Linked DNA regions of Yarrowia lipolytica. The protein of the gene in region 3 binds, or shares a complex with, the protein of the main gene of each other region. Links are inferred from orthologs where the notes say so. Each region holds a gene or a part of one and is shown on either strand. Other genes may lie near its edges.

What was found.
Region 1: YALI1_C25301g (region 3) and YALI1_F31744g share a complex: the UniProt entries of both Saccharomyces cerevisiae proteins name them as parts of the mitochondrial large ribosomal subunit. The link is inferred for Yarrowia lipolytica from reciprocal best matches to the Saccharomyces cerevisiae genes MRPL16 and IMG1.
Region 2: YALI1_C25301g (region 3) and YALI1_C23548g share a complex: the UniProt entries of both Saccharomyces cerevisiae proteins name them as parts of the mitochondrial large ribosomal subunit. The link is inferred for Yarrowia lipolytica from reciprocal best matches to the Saccharomyces cerevisiae genes MRPL16 and MRPL28.
Region 4: YALI1_C25301g (region 3) and YALI1_C21634g share a complex: the UniProt entries of both Saccharomyces cerevisiae proteins name them as parts of the mitochondrial large ribosomal subunit. The link is inferred for Yarrowia lipolytica from reciprocal best matches to the Saccharomyces cerevisiae genes MRPL16 and MRPL39.

The regions. Positions count from the first base shown.
Region 1 is NC_090775.1:3,172,722-3,175,533, reverse strand, and holds YALI1_F31744g (mitochondrial 54S ribosomal protein bL19m), read right to left. Parts: upstream 1,058-2,812; coding exon 512-1,057; downstream 1-511. Other genes in the region: YALI1_F31733g (uncharacterized protein), read right to left, coding at 1,429-2,184. UniProt on the Saccharomyces cerevisiae protein: Component of the mitochondrial ribosome (mitoribosome), a dedicated translation machinery responsible for the synthesis of mitochondrial genome-encoded proteins, including at least some of the essential transmembrane subunits of the mitochondrial respiratory chain.
Region 2 is NC_090772.1:2,353,905-2,356,796, forward strand, and holds YALI1_C23548g (mitochondrial 54S ribosomal protein mL40), read right to left. Parts: upstream 951-2,892; coding exon 510-950; downstream 1-509. Other genes in the region: YALI1_C23563g (uncharacterized protein), read right to left, coding at 1,297-2,397. UniProt on the Saccharomyces cerevisiae protein: Component of the mitochondrial ribosome (mitoribosome), a dedicated translation machinery responsible for the synthesis of mitochondrial genome-encoded proteins, including at least some of the essential transmembrane subunits of the mitochondrial respiratory chain.
Region 3 is NC_090772.1:2,528,871-2,531,959, reverse strand, and holds YALI1_C25301g (uncharacterized protein), read left to right. Parts: upstream 1-1,744; coding exon 1,745-1,797; intron 1,798-1,850; coding exon 1,851-2,583; downstream 2,584-3,089. Other genes in the region: YALI1_C25336g (uncharacterized protein), read left to right, coding at 1-134; YALI1_C25307g (uncharacterized protein), read right to left, coding at 322-1,245. UniProt on the Saccharomyces cerevisiae protein: Component of the mitochondrial ribosome (mitoribosome), a dedicated translation machinery responsible for the synthesis of mitochondrial genome-encoded proteins, including at least some of the essential transmembrane subunits of the mitochondrial respiratory chain.
Region 4 is NC_090772.1:2,162,873-2,165,548, forward strand, and holds YALI1_C21634g (mitochondrial 54S ribosomal protein bL33m), read right to left. Parts: upstream 946-2,676; coding exon 939-945; intron 889-938; coding exon 772-888; intron 591-771; coding exon 502-590; downstream 1-501. Other genes in the region: YALI1_C21626g (uncharacterized protein), read left to right, coding at 9-349; YALI1_C21639g (uncharacterized protein), read left to right, coding at 1,085-2,676. UniProt on the Saccharomyces cerevisiae protein: Component of the mitochondrial ribosome (mitoribosome), a dedicated translation machinery responsible for the synthesis of mitochondrial genome-encoded proteins, including at least some of the essential transmembrane subunits of the mitochondrial respiratory chain.

The DNA.
Region 1 (2,812 bases), on a different chromosome or scaffold from region 3:
CTTTCAGACTTGAGTCGTTAACGATATGGCCAGTGTTGAAGGCGGAGAATTGAGGGACCGAGGGAGGATCGGAGGAGTGTTTATTGTTTCATTTGGTGATATTGTCAGATGTATCAGCTTTTAAGCAAATTTAAAACAATATTGGTGGATAGATAGTGTTCATGTTGAGTCTTAACTAATGGGACAGTTTAGTTGATACTGTTTATTGGAAAAAGGAGATAAACCTCGAGAGATGAGATGTTCCACTGTATAAGCTACTGTAATTTAGAGCAAAGGGGAACAAATGATCTCACATGGCCGCACTTGTGTATTTGGCATTGATTCAGAAGCCGCCTGACACTGTAAGGAACTGAATGTGACCATGCTCGAATATTGGAACACTGGAGTTGTGACACAGCTGCTCGCAAGCTGCCCATGTTGGCATGTCACATACAAGCACATGTAGTGATCCAGCCCTCCATCATTCCTACTCTCAGCTCTCCTTCCATATCCTTCCATTCACTATATACATTTACTTGAAGAGGAACTTCTTTCGCTTGGCGGCTGCCTTCTTGACGGAGGCCTCGAGATCGCCAACATCCAGACGCTTGTGGCCTCGGATGTAGTACAGACGCTCGGCGGTGTACTTCTGGGTGGCCCGTCGGATAATCTTGACAGACTCGACGGTTGGAGAGAAGATCTTGAATCGTCGGTCGATTCCGATCTTGGTGATCTTAGATCGCAGCAGCAGGTTAGAGGACAGTCCTCGGAAGTCCACCACCATGGTGAGGCCCGTGAACAGAGAGCCATCAGTGGTCTTGATCTGCACAATGTCTCCGGGCTTGATTCGGTCAGCGGATTTGGGGTTCATCAGCTCCATCTTGACGCCCTGGGGATCAAACTGCTTCATCAGCTTGTCAGTGACGTGTGTAAGAGCGTTCTCGGTACCCAGACGTCGGGGGTGTCGCTCGTAGATGTTGACGGTCTTTGGCTCTCGCTTGATGGTCTTGAATGTGGCCATCTGCATCACGGGCAGACGCACCGCTGCCAGCGATGGACGGATCAGTCGAGCCAGCATTTTTGTGCAAGTGTGGTGATGCTGTATACTGACTGTTGGTGTGCTCTAGGGCCTATTTTGGTTAAATTTTCAGTCGCGGTTAGGGTTTGCGGTTTGTAATGCTGGGAAGATGAGTCCGAGACGATGAGAAAACAAAGGGAGAGGGGCTATAAGAATGAATGAGCCGATGCGTCCGTGGTGTTCCTCTACCATATGGCTCGAATACTGTAGTAATTTTCGTCTTTCTACAATGAGTTTGCCTTTGTTGAATCGTTTTGTAATGTTTTCTTGTTTTTCTACAGTTTAGGGCTCTCAAGACGGTACAGAAGAGAAGATCGTGACAAACAAATTGATACCGAGAATGTTTTTGTGAAGATGGCGTCTTGGTGCTGTTATTCTACCCATATTATTTTCTCACAACCAGTTACCAACCGCTCTAATTCAGTCTCATCCAGTCCAAAGTGCTTATTCTGGATCGGTACATACATACAAGTAATGTAGTGCTTGGTCGAGTTTTTCCTCACTCGTACCATGCACCATAATCTGAACCATAATATAATTTGTATCACCAACATCCATCCAGAGCACAACACCACGGTACACAAAACCCTCGCCTCGCCACCACCACCGACATGCCCACTATATTCATCTCCACCCCCAGTGGTCTGAGAGATATCCAGAAACACGTTTTGGCTGATGATGATGTCCACGTCGCTATCGAAAGCGCTCTCAAAGAACTGCCCCCTAACGCCACAGCCAAGGGATATCTCAGCACCAGAGGAGGCCAGAGTCTTGAGAGCCTGTCTGCTGCAGCTGGTGACATCTACTTGCGCTGGAATATGCGTCTTTGCGGTGGAAAGGGTGGTTTCGGGTCCATGCTGCGAGCCCAGGGAGGACGTATGGCCCGAAAGAAGAATAGAAAGAAGACGGAGACGGAGAACGACTCTTTTCGAACGCTGGACGGCCGCCGAATGAAGAGTATCCGGCAGGCCAAGGAGCTTGGAGAGTACCTCAGCACAGCCGACGAGATCAAGAAGAAGGAGGCCGAAGAGAAGAAACAGAAGCTGCTCAACATTCTGCAGAAGGAAAAGACCAGTGGGTCCAGTCGAAAGAGCAAGTTTGAAAACACACGACTGCTGGAAGACCATGAAGATGCCGTTCAGAAGATGCGAAAGGACGCGGAGATGGCTGCTCTGGCTGTATCCGAAATTGATACTGCCTTGTCATCTTCTGCAGGATCTTCCAGCTCGAATGTGAAGGCCAAGGGTGGAGATTTCTTTGGTATGGACTTCAGCGAATCCGAAAGTGAGTCTGAGTCCGACACCGAGTCTATATGAGCCGATAAAGACTCTCTGGGCCTCTACCCGTTAACAATTATTTATAAAGAGATTATTTATTGACAAGCAGATGCCAGCAGCGAAGGAGTAGGGTTCCTGGGGATGGTACTGTATGACATCGAAGCATACATGATAGATTGTACAAAATGTTCTCCACTTTTGGAAGTGCTCCTGGCTTCCATAGAACCGCCGTATGTACAGATATCTCTGTGTGTGAAACAACACGCACGCTATTCAAAACGCCAAGGGTAGTATAACAGCACAGATATCCTAATCGATCCAATGTTTTCGTTCGATCATTTGTGTCCGAGAATTTTCTATACAACAGATTCCTCATTTATTGCACTTTCTTGACTCCATAGATTATCACTACTGTACCGTGCATGACACGTGACTCTCATCAAAATTTAGGTCCAATATGCAAAGTTTGAGAAAACTC
Region 2 (2,892 bases), about 170 kb from region 3:
ATATAGTTAACGTCATGATTGAGGCGCGTGGAGTGTAGCGACGCGGTTGTACTATAGAGCGGTTCTTGATACGAATGTGCACTCCATTGCGAGAATACTCTCAGTTCCGTTCCTTCTAAGAGCTGTACCACTCTACAGATCTGCGGGTAACACCGATAACAGAAGGACTTGCGCCGTGGTTACTACTGCAATCTTCTATGCCTCCGTTTGCACTCGTTATGATGTGTGACCAGGAGCTGACTTGTCTCTATACGAATCCTGTGCATAACGGGCTGTTCGTACGAGGCTTGGAGTCATTTCGTCATTGAGAAGCAACTCCATGACCCTCACCGCTGTCCTAGGTCTCCAGCCCCTCACCAGTGCCCTAGGTCTCCAGCTGCCTCATTCAAACTCCCGCACTGGTGTCTCACTCTCAATCAATCAATCATACCTTTTGCTATGTACATTTTATCCTAGTGGTGGGACCATCTGTGGGGTTGTGTAACGTCCTGTTGTGTTGGTGTCCACCACTACTTCTTCACCTCGGCCTTCCACTCAGACTGCCAGATTTTGTTGGGGGGAGTCTCGGTAGGCACTCGCATTTCGATGGGGAACTTGTTGCCCTTGACTCGCAGCACGGCGGCGTTGAACAGGAATCCGTCCACCTTTCGCAGTTCCTCGCACGTGTCTTGCAGCATCTCATACTGCTGTCTGTGTTGCTGCTCTCGGGCCAGCTTTTCGGCCAGCCGCTCCTCTCGCCACGCCACCTGCACGATTCGGTGTCGAATCAGATCCTCCTGGCTGAGCTCGAGCTTCTTGGGAGCCATTCGCTTGGGCGACATGGCCGACATCTGGTTCACGAGCTTTCGCGCTCCAGGGTCCAGATCGTTGGCCGTCTTGGTTCGCTTGGTTCGCAGGGCCAGCTGGGGCACCCGCCGAGCCACACAGGTCGTTCGCACGGTTCCAAACATTGTGGTCTTGTGTGTGGTGTGGTGTGGTGTTGCACAGATCAGGTATTTTTTCAGCTGGCAGAAGGGGACATGCAGCGGCCGTAAGTTCGATTTGCACCTGGCAACTTTTAAAATTGAAATTGAAGTTGTTGGGGGTTCGATTCCGAGGGAGGTCGTTCCAGGAAAAGAGATACAGCAACAGTCACTCCGCGATTCTTCCTCAATACAAACATGAATTCTGACATTCAAACAGCCTGTACCTGTCCCCGTACTAATACAGTACAGTATGTACTAGACATTACTAGGTTGTGATTGGTAAGCAGAGCTTGCTGTCGCTCACTCGTACTCGTATAATACAATAAATAATCTACTTTTTTCTAGTAATAAATATCGAGCTGGGTTTCTGTCGCCGAGGCGGAGGAGAAGCTCTGGTTAGTGGTGGTACAGATGGCGGGGGAGGCGCTTGCGCGGGTGGCAGAGGCGGGGAAACGTGCCGATTGATTGGGGGAGGAGATTGTGGTGGAGTGGTCGAAGTGACGACTGGCGCAGTCTCGGGTCCAGGCCCACGCCTGAAAATACCCATATCTGTCCGCTGCACCTTGGTAGGCGAGGCGCTGCCGCTCGAGTGTCCAATGGCGTTTGTTTTGGGCATGGGAGTGGGCCGTTTGAGAGGTCGCTTCAAGGATGTGGTGCTCATGGCTTCAACAGGAACCGGAATGGACGAAATGCGGTGGTCCGAATTGAAGCCTCCATTGACACGGACGGTATCACGACCCGCAGAGGGCTGGGGGTCACGTGTAGGGTCACGTGGTTGGTTTCTGTTTGTGCGGTCGAAAAACGACTTGCGGTTCGTTTCCAGAAATGTGGGGTTGCTGGGGGAAAACATGCTGCCCTTGGAACGCATTTCCAGTCGCAATCGACCCACAACAGACGACTTTGCTCGCTGAATGTATTGTCGTCGCTGAGAAGACTCAGCCCGCGGGTCCACGTCCAACTGGGTGATCATGATTTCCGACTTGCGTTGTTGTTCACGTGCAATGTTTCGTTTGAGCCGATTACTGCTCTCGCGCAAACGAGTCTCCTTTTCCTCCTGGTAGCGCAGGTATGTTTCCTTGAAGTTCTTTTTTGGTAATGGGCGGTCAGAAAAGTCGCGACCGATGAAGTGCTTCCATACTGGTTCCGAGTCGCGTGCAATATGTGGAGAGATGGACTCAATGTGGAGCATTTGGCGGCACTTGAACTTGCGGAGAATGGGCTCCACCAAGTGGTAGGGCGTATCGCCGATATCTTGGATTTCTGAGTTAGTAACCGTGATGAGTGTGGTCGGAGGTACGGGGTAACGAGTGGACAACACCCTACAGGGTGTTAGGAGGTTGGAAAGAGCCCATGGAGCAGTTCTGGCCGTGGCATAGTTCAGAGGCGCCAAGGGTAACAGTCTGAGGTGCTGTCTATCGAAGCATACCGACATTTGAGCTGAATCCCGGTCATTTTTCCGCTTATTGTTGCAGCTCAGACACACTGACAGCGAGATTAGTTGAGAACATGGCTTGGTTTGAAGCAACTAGTTCTGAACACCCTGGCCGGTGGCACAGAGACAACCTCAGAACCTGTCTTCACAGCCAGAGCCAGTCACAGGACCAAGAACGGAGGTCGGTTCAACTCAGTCTGTGTCACAAGGATGACACAAATGAGCATATAATGGCCAAGAGCGTCGACAGACACACAAAATGACACGGCGTCATGCTCGCGAGACTCAGTCTCGGCCTCCACGTTTCCATTCTCTTCTCACCTAGCAAAGGTTAACCAAATCGTCCCTGACTCCTGAATGACGTGTCCATAACCTGTGTTCAAATCAGGAGTCCCCAAGGGGTCTTGCTGAACGCTCTGACCTGCTTTACACGCACAACCTCGAGCTCCCGTTTGTGTCTTTTCCGATTGTGTACTCACGATGACTGTGCCTCTG
Region 3 (3,089 bases):
AGTTCACCGAGCAGATTGAGGAGGAGGAAGTGGCTCTCAAGGAAAAGGAAGCCAAGGCTGTTGGAATCCCTAAACATGTCGAAGATGTCGCGAAAATCCCTGGTGACGTTGAAGAAGTCGCAGACTATAAGTAGAAGTCGACTAGAATTGGCTAGTCCGTCCGTTGTGAGGGCACTTGTAAAAGTACAATTGTGTACGAATAAATTATACATGATTATCTTGTTGTAATCATTCCCCTGACCGCACCTCCATTATCCAATGAACCATTGCATACCTTTCCATTATCTATATACTCCACGCACTGTGCCACTCCCGTCAGTCTTACTCATACCACATTTTAATCAGCTCCTCAGAAACGCCACTTGGAGTGAGAACTCCCAGATCTGTGATAAGTGCAGTGATGTAATCGTGAGGCGTAAAGTCGACGACTGGCGACAGACCCTTGTCGGCATTCTGCTCCTCGGGCTCCTCAACAGTGAAGTGGAACATCTTTTTGGTGTCTGGCAGATCGGCCTGGGCCAGAGGGAAGATTCGCACAAACTTGTGACTCTCGGTGACCACGTAGAAGGGCTTATTTGCGTTCTTGGCTAGCACGGCAATCTGATATGATCCGACGTGGTTGATGACTCCTCCAGACTCCGCCACTCCCTCGGCACCACAAAACACCTTGGACACCTCGTCAATCACAGATCCGACGGCGTTGTCCACAATTAGACTCACGGGAATGCCTCTCTCCCTCAATGCCTTGGCCATTCGCTTACCCTGATCACTAGGAGCAGCCTCTGTGACAAACACTCTGAAACGCACCAAGTTCTTAGCAGCATGTTCCAGAAGGGCCAGTACCGTTCGCGAGAAAGAGTGGACCAGAATGACATCGTCATCCCGCACAAATGCTAGACCCTTTTCCGAAATGGTCTTTCGAGCAGCCTTACTTCGCTCGGCAAACAGCCTTCCGTTCTTTACCAAATGGCCCTTGCAGGCCTCCCAGTCGCCATATTCCCGGATATTTCGCAACACAAATCGCATAAACAGATCACAGCCTGCAGAAAGCGACATAGAGTTGTCCACAGACGTCTTGAGCTCCGCGCTCGCCTCCTTGAGAGTCTGAATCAGCTCGGCTGATGTGCTGGTTTCGGTCTCACTGAGCAGCTGGACCAGGGCCTCAATGGCCGCGACAGGCATGGTGATGTCGGGGTCGTCCCGCAGAAAGCGCAGATATGTCTCTTTGATGTCGAATTTGGCCATGCTGGATTACTTGTAGTGGTCGATTTGCTCTATGCTGCAATTTTTGGTTAGGTTGGGATTAATATTTTCAGAATCCTGAATCACGTGACGATATGAGATTGGCCCAGTTACCCGGCAGTTCGAACGTCGACGAATGTACTGATACGCTGAGTTAGAGAGGGGTTGGAAGGGCTTGTGGTGGTTGAGGGGTATATTAAGGTCACATGACTGTATGTTAAGCAAGTGCTCATGTTTTTTCCGGTCCCCATCCCCTGTCTGATGCCCTTGTGTGGTGTACTTGAGCAGTTGGGAGTTACTTAGCATGTTCAACTAAAGGCTAAGTACTGCATGTCCTGCTGTCGAATAAACTTCGTGCAGCTTACTCATCAGCCATCTGAACAAATACACGAGCTAATTTTTTCACAATCACCAAAATGCTGGCTCGACTGGTAAACGGACTACGGGGTGAGTAACGCTAGAAATGGGGAAGGAAGAGACTTGGAAGGCATTCAGCGAAGCCATGCAATCAGCAGATCGATTCTCAGCGACAATACGACCGTGCCAAACGACACGGTGAGAGTGAAAAATTTCGGATCGGAAGTTCACGAATGACTGCACAACTTAAGGAACCTAGGGAATAAGGAATCCCTGTCATTCCAACAGGTCTATCCGAGTCGACCACCCTCAATACCGTGCTCCTCTGACGGCCGTACTAACTCAGCTACCCGCCCTACTGTCGTGTCTCCTTTTGCTGTTCCCACTCTGGGCTCCATTCGACACAAGCACGAGTATGCACCTCGATTCAAGAACCTACGAAAGGCCCAGCGAGGCCGAATCACTGTCCGAACCGGAGGATCCACTCGAGGCTCCACGGTCGAGTTTGGCCAGTGGGGCCTGCGTCTTGTTTCTGAGGGTGTGCGGCTGTTTGACAAGCAGCTCAAGGCCGCTGACGGAGCCATTGCTCAGCTGATTCGAAAGGCCGCTCCCGGCTCTCAGCTCTACCGACGGTTTCTGCTCTCCACCCCCGTCACTCGAAAGGGTGTCAATATCCGAATGGGTAAGGGTAAGGGAGATATCGAGAACATGGCCACCCGATGGCCCACTGGAAAGGTGGTATTTGAGGTTGGAGGCCAGATGCACGACCAGGTTGTCAAGGAGGCCTTCAAGCGAGCTTCCAGGCGTCTGCCGGGCCGATGGGAGGTGATCAAGAAGGGCGATCTGCCTGTTGTTGGCTCCCAGGAGGTCCCCGAGGCCACCCCCCGAAACTACCTGCAGGAGATGTCCGAGAACCCCACCAAGCGGTTCCAGGCCCTGGAGGACTCCAAGAAGGAGGAGTTTGTCAAGTACCGACGACGATAAATGTATATAGTAACATATTTGATATTGAGAGTGTGAAATGTAGATGTGTGTAGAAGACTTGTATCAACAAACGCGCCAGTACAGTGACGAAACCTTGGTTCCAGTGAAGAGTTACGAATCGGAAGGGTGAGCAATCTCTGTTGTTTGCTAGACGTTGTAAAGTGCAAACCAAGGTGTTACTATGGGGTATATCGATATCTCAGTATATACCGGCACATACTGTACAATACTGTACTTGTGATGCCATTGCAAGCTGGATCATAGGTCGTATGACTCCTTTTTTACGACGTTGGACCTGTGTACTCGTGCGCTATATTCTCGGTACTGGATCCAAATTAGAGACCAAAGAGGTTGTTTGAGAGACATTATCTGCCAACTGAAACACGGTTTCTTCACAAACACGTACTATTCACCAGGATATATATTCTATTTCGTACTCAGCATCCTCACACTACCCAGCCAAGGTTTATGCGAGATATGCAATAACGTTCGAAAATTACGGACCT
Region 4 (2,676 bases), about 370 kb from region 3:
AACGCAAGCATTCATGGTACAGATGGGTGATCCCACAGGTACAGGCAAAGGCGGGGAGTCGATTTGGGGCGGCAAATTTGAAGACGAAATCAAGCCGACGCTGCGACACAACTCCAGAGGCATACTCTCCATGGTCAACTCCGGCCCCAACACAAATGGAAGCCAGTTCTTTATAACTTACGACAAGCACTTGAGTCTGGATGGCAATTACACTGTGTTTGGGAAAATGATCGATGGTGAGGACGCTCTAGTGAAACTCGAAGGAGTTGAGGTAGACAAAAAGAATCGACCAGTCGCCCCTGTATTCATCAGGAGTGTGAGCATTCACGCGAACCCATTTGCACAATAGCACATGGAATGGAGAGCAAACACCGTACAGCCACACATCCCTAACCTATCACGCAGAGGGCATGGTCACCAAACTACGACCCAGTCACAGTACAACGAAATACAAGCATCCTACCTCTTCACATCTATAATTAACTATGTACAAATCATGGCTTAGTCATCGGACTTCTTAGGCTCCTTGCCTCGAGGCTCAACGGCTCCTCGTCGGGTCTTCGTCTCCTCGAAAAGAACCATTCGTTTAACTGAGTTAGTAAACTGGCGTGGTCAGCTCTCTGGGACCACGATCTCATGGAGACGATCACGAGAAATCGAGCGTCCAGTGCCACACCCACTAGCCGATGCTGCATCGCGACACCACTGCGATCACCTCATCCACTGCAACGGGTCTCAGCCCTCGACAGCCTCATCTTTCCAGTAACTCACCTATAGGGTCATACTTCACTTGAGTGATGGGACGAGCCACACGAGGTCGGAAAACGGTTCGCATGACACCGGTTTTCGCCGAAGAAAAGAGTTTGATGACAGTGTTCTTGCTTCGTACTGTGTTAGTAAAGCAGGGGGAGGTTTCTGTGGGCGCCAACAATACCTACCAGCCATGTTGTGTTCTCTTCTGATCTGATGTCAAATTCAAGTGGTGGTTCAAGATGCGTGTGATAATTTTAAGCGGGATTAAGGTTACATACCAGATTGGCCTGTTTGTCATCACGGACACAACTCAAAACCACCAACACAGAACATGAGCGGTCATATTGGGAAGATATCTGGGAAGTTGTTTCTTGATGGGCAATTTGCTACGTTGGCCGATCTAGAGTCTTTGGACCAGCTTGAATCCGAGCTTCTGGAGAAGGAGGAGCGGTTGAACATTGACATCACTGAAGCACACAATGAAGCCTCCAGTTTGCTTGTACAACATGCACAGGCAGTCCACGACTCGGTTGAAGAGGGTGACAAGAAATCAATCATTGCGGCACTGGAAGACCTCAGCAAGCATGAGCTGGTCGACACCAACAAGGATGTACAGACTGCAATCAAGAAAGCCGAGAACCTGGCATCCTCTGAACACCACATCGGCAACCTCCTGTCTTTGCAACAAAACTACAACACTTCAACGGAAACCGATTCAAGTGCCAGGATCAAAAGCGCAATTCAAGAATATCTGGAATTGAACCGCAGAGATGTTCCTACTGCGGTGGAAGCTTTACATAAGCAATGGAGGAAAAAGCTTCAGAGGTCCGCGCACACTGAGCTTCAAAGACTTTCGCAGGAGGCAGAAGAGGAGCTGGTGAACTGCCAGTACCCTTCAAAGGAGTTTCAGCCATCAGAACGGCTGCTATCGACTCTAGAAGAAATGATATTCCTTGACAGCTCTCTTAGAACCCAGTCGACAGCTGACCCCCAAGGGGTGCCGCTGCAGGCTTTCTTGGTTTTGACTGCGCCTTATGATATCAGATTACGGTTCCATTTCGAAGGAAACAAAGATACGAACCAACCTGACAAGCCTGAATGGTTTTATTCTTACTTTCTAGACATTGTTGAGGAGCAGGAAAACTTCTTGCAGGAACACATGCAACCTCTGTTGGGTGACAGCGACAAAGTAGCTCTCAATGAGTTCATCTGTGCATTGATTCCATCGGCAATCCGCAAAGCCTCGGTGTTGTTCGATGCTCTCCGTGATACATCTACAGAGCTATCCCATCTCCTCTACGAAACAGTAGTGTTTGAGACCGCTCTTAAAGAGCGTTATTTCTACAGCCCCAACAGAGGAAACTGGGTGGGAATTTCAGGGTCTATTCTCACGCCTTCGAGGTTTGATATTTGGCTCAATGTTGAACGAAATTTTGCGGTTTCGCGGTTTCACGCTATTATTCAGCTTCCCGACGCTTGGGAAATTGACTTTGATGGCGTGGAAAGAGGTGCGACCAAACCAACGAAGAGTGCGCTAATGGTCAAAGATCTGCTGGAGGGTGTCACTGACCACTACAGAAGTCTGGCTAGTGTCACATACAGACTCAAGTTCTTGATAGGTATTCAGACGACAATTTTGGATCTTTATCACGAGCAACTGCATGAACAAAATCTGCTTCTGGAATCGAACATATCTCTATTGTCGAGGGCTCTTGTGGGAGCCGCTGATAAACAGAAAACGGGGGGATCAGAGGGTATCTGGAGGGTGTGCAGAATTTTTGGAAGTGCGAAGTTCATGATAGAGACCCTCCAAGTTTGGGGTGAGGACGTCTTTTTTCTGGAACTTTGGCGCGATATAACCTCTCTCAACAACTCCTCGCGAAAAGAAGGTGGTATCGACAATGATGCCATGCAGACCTCCGC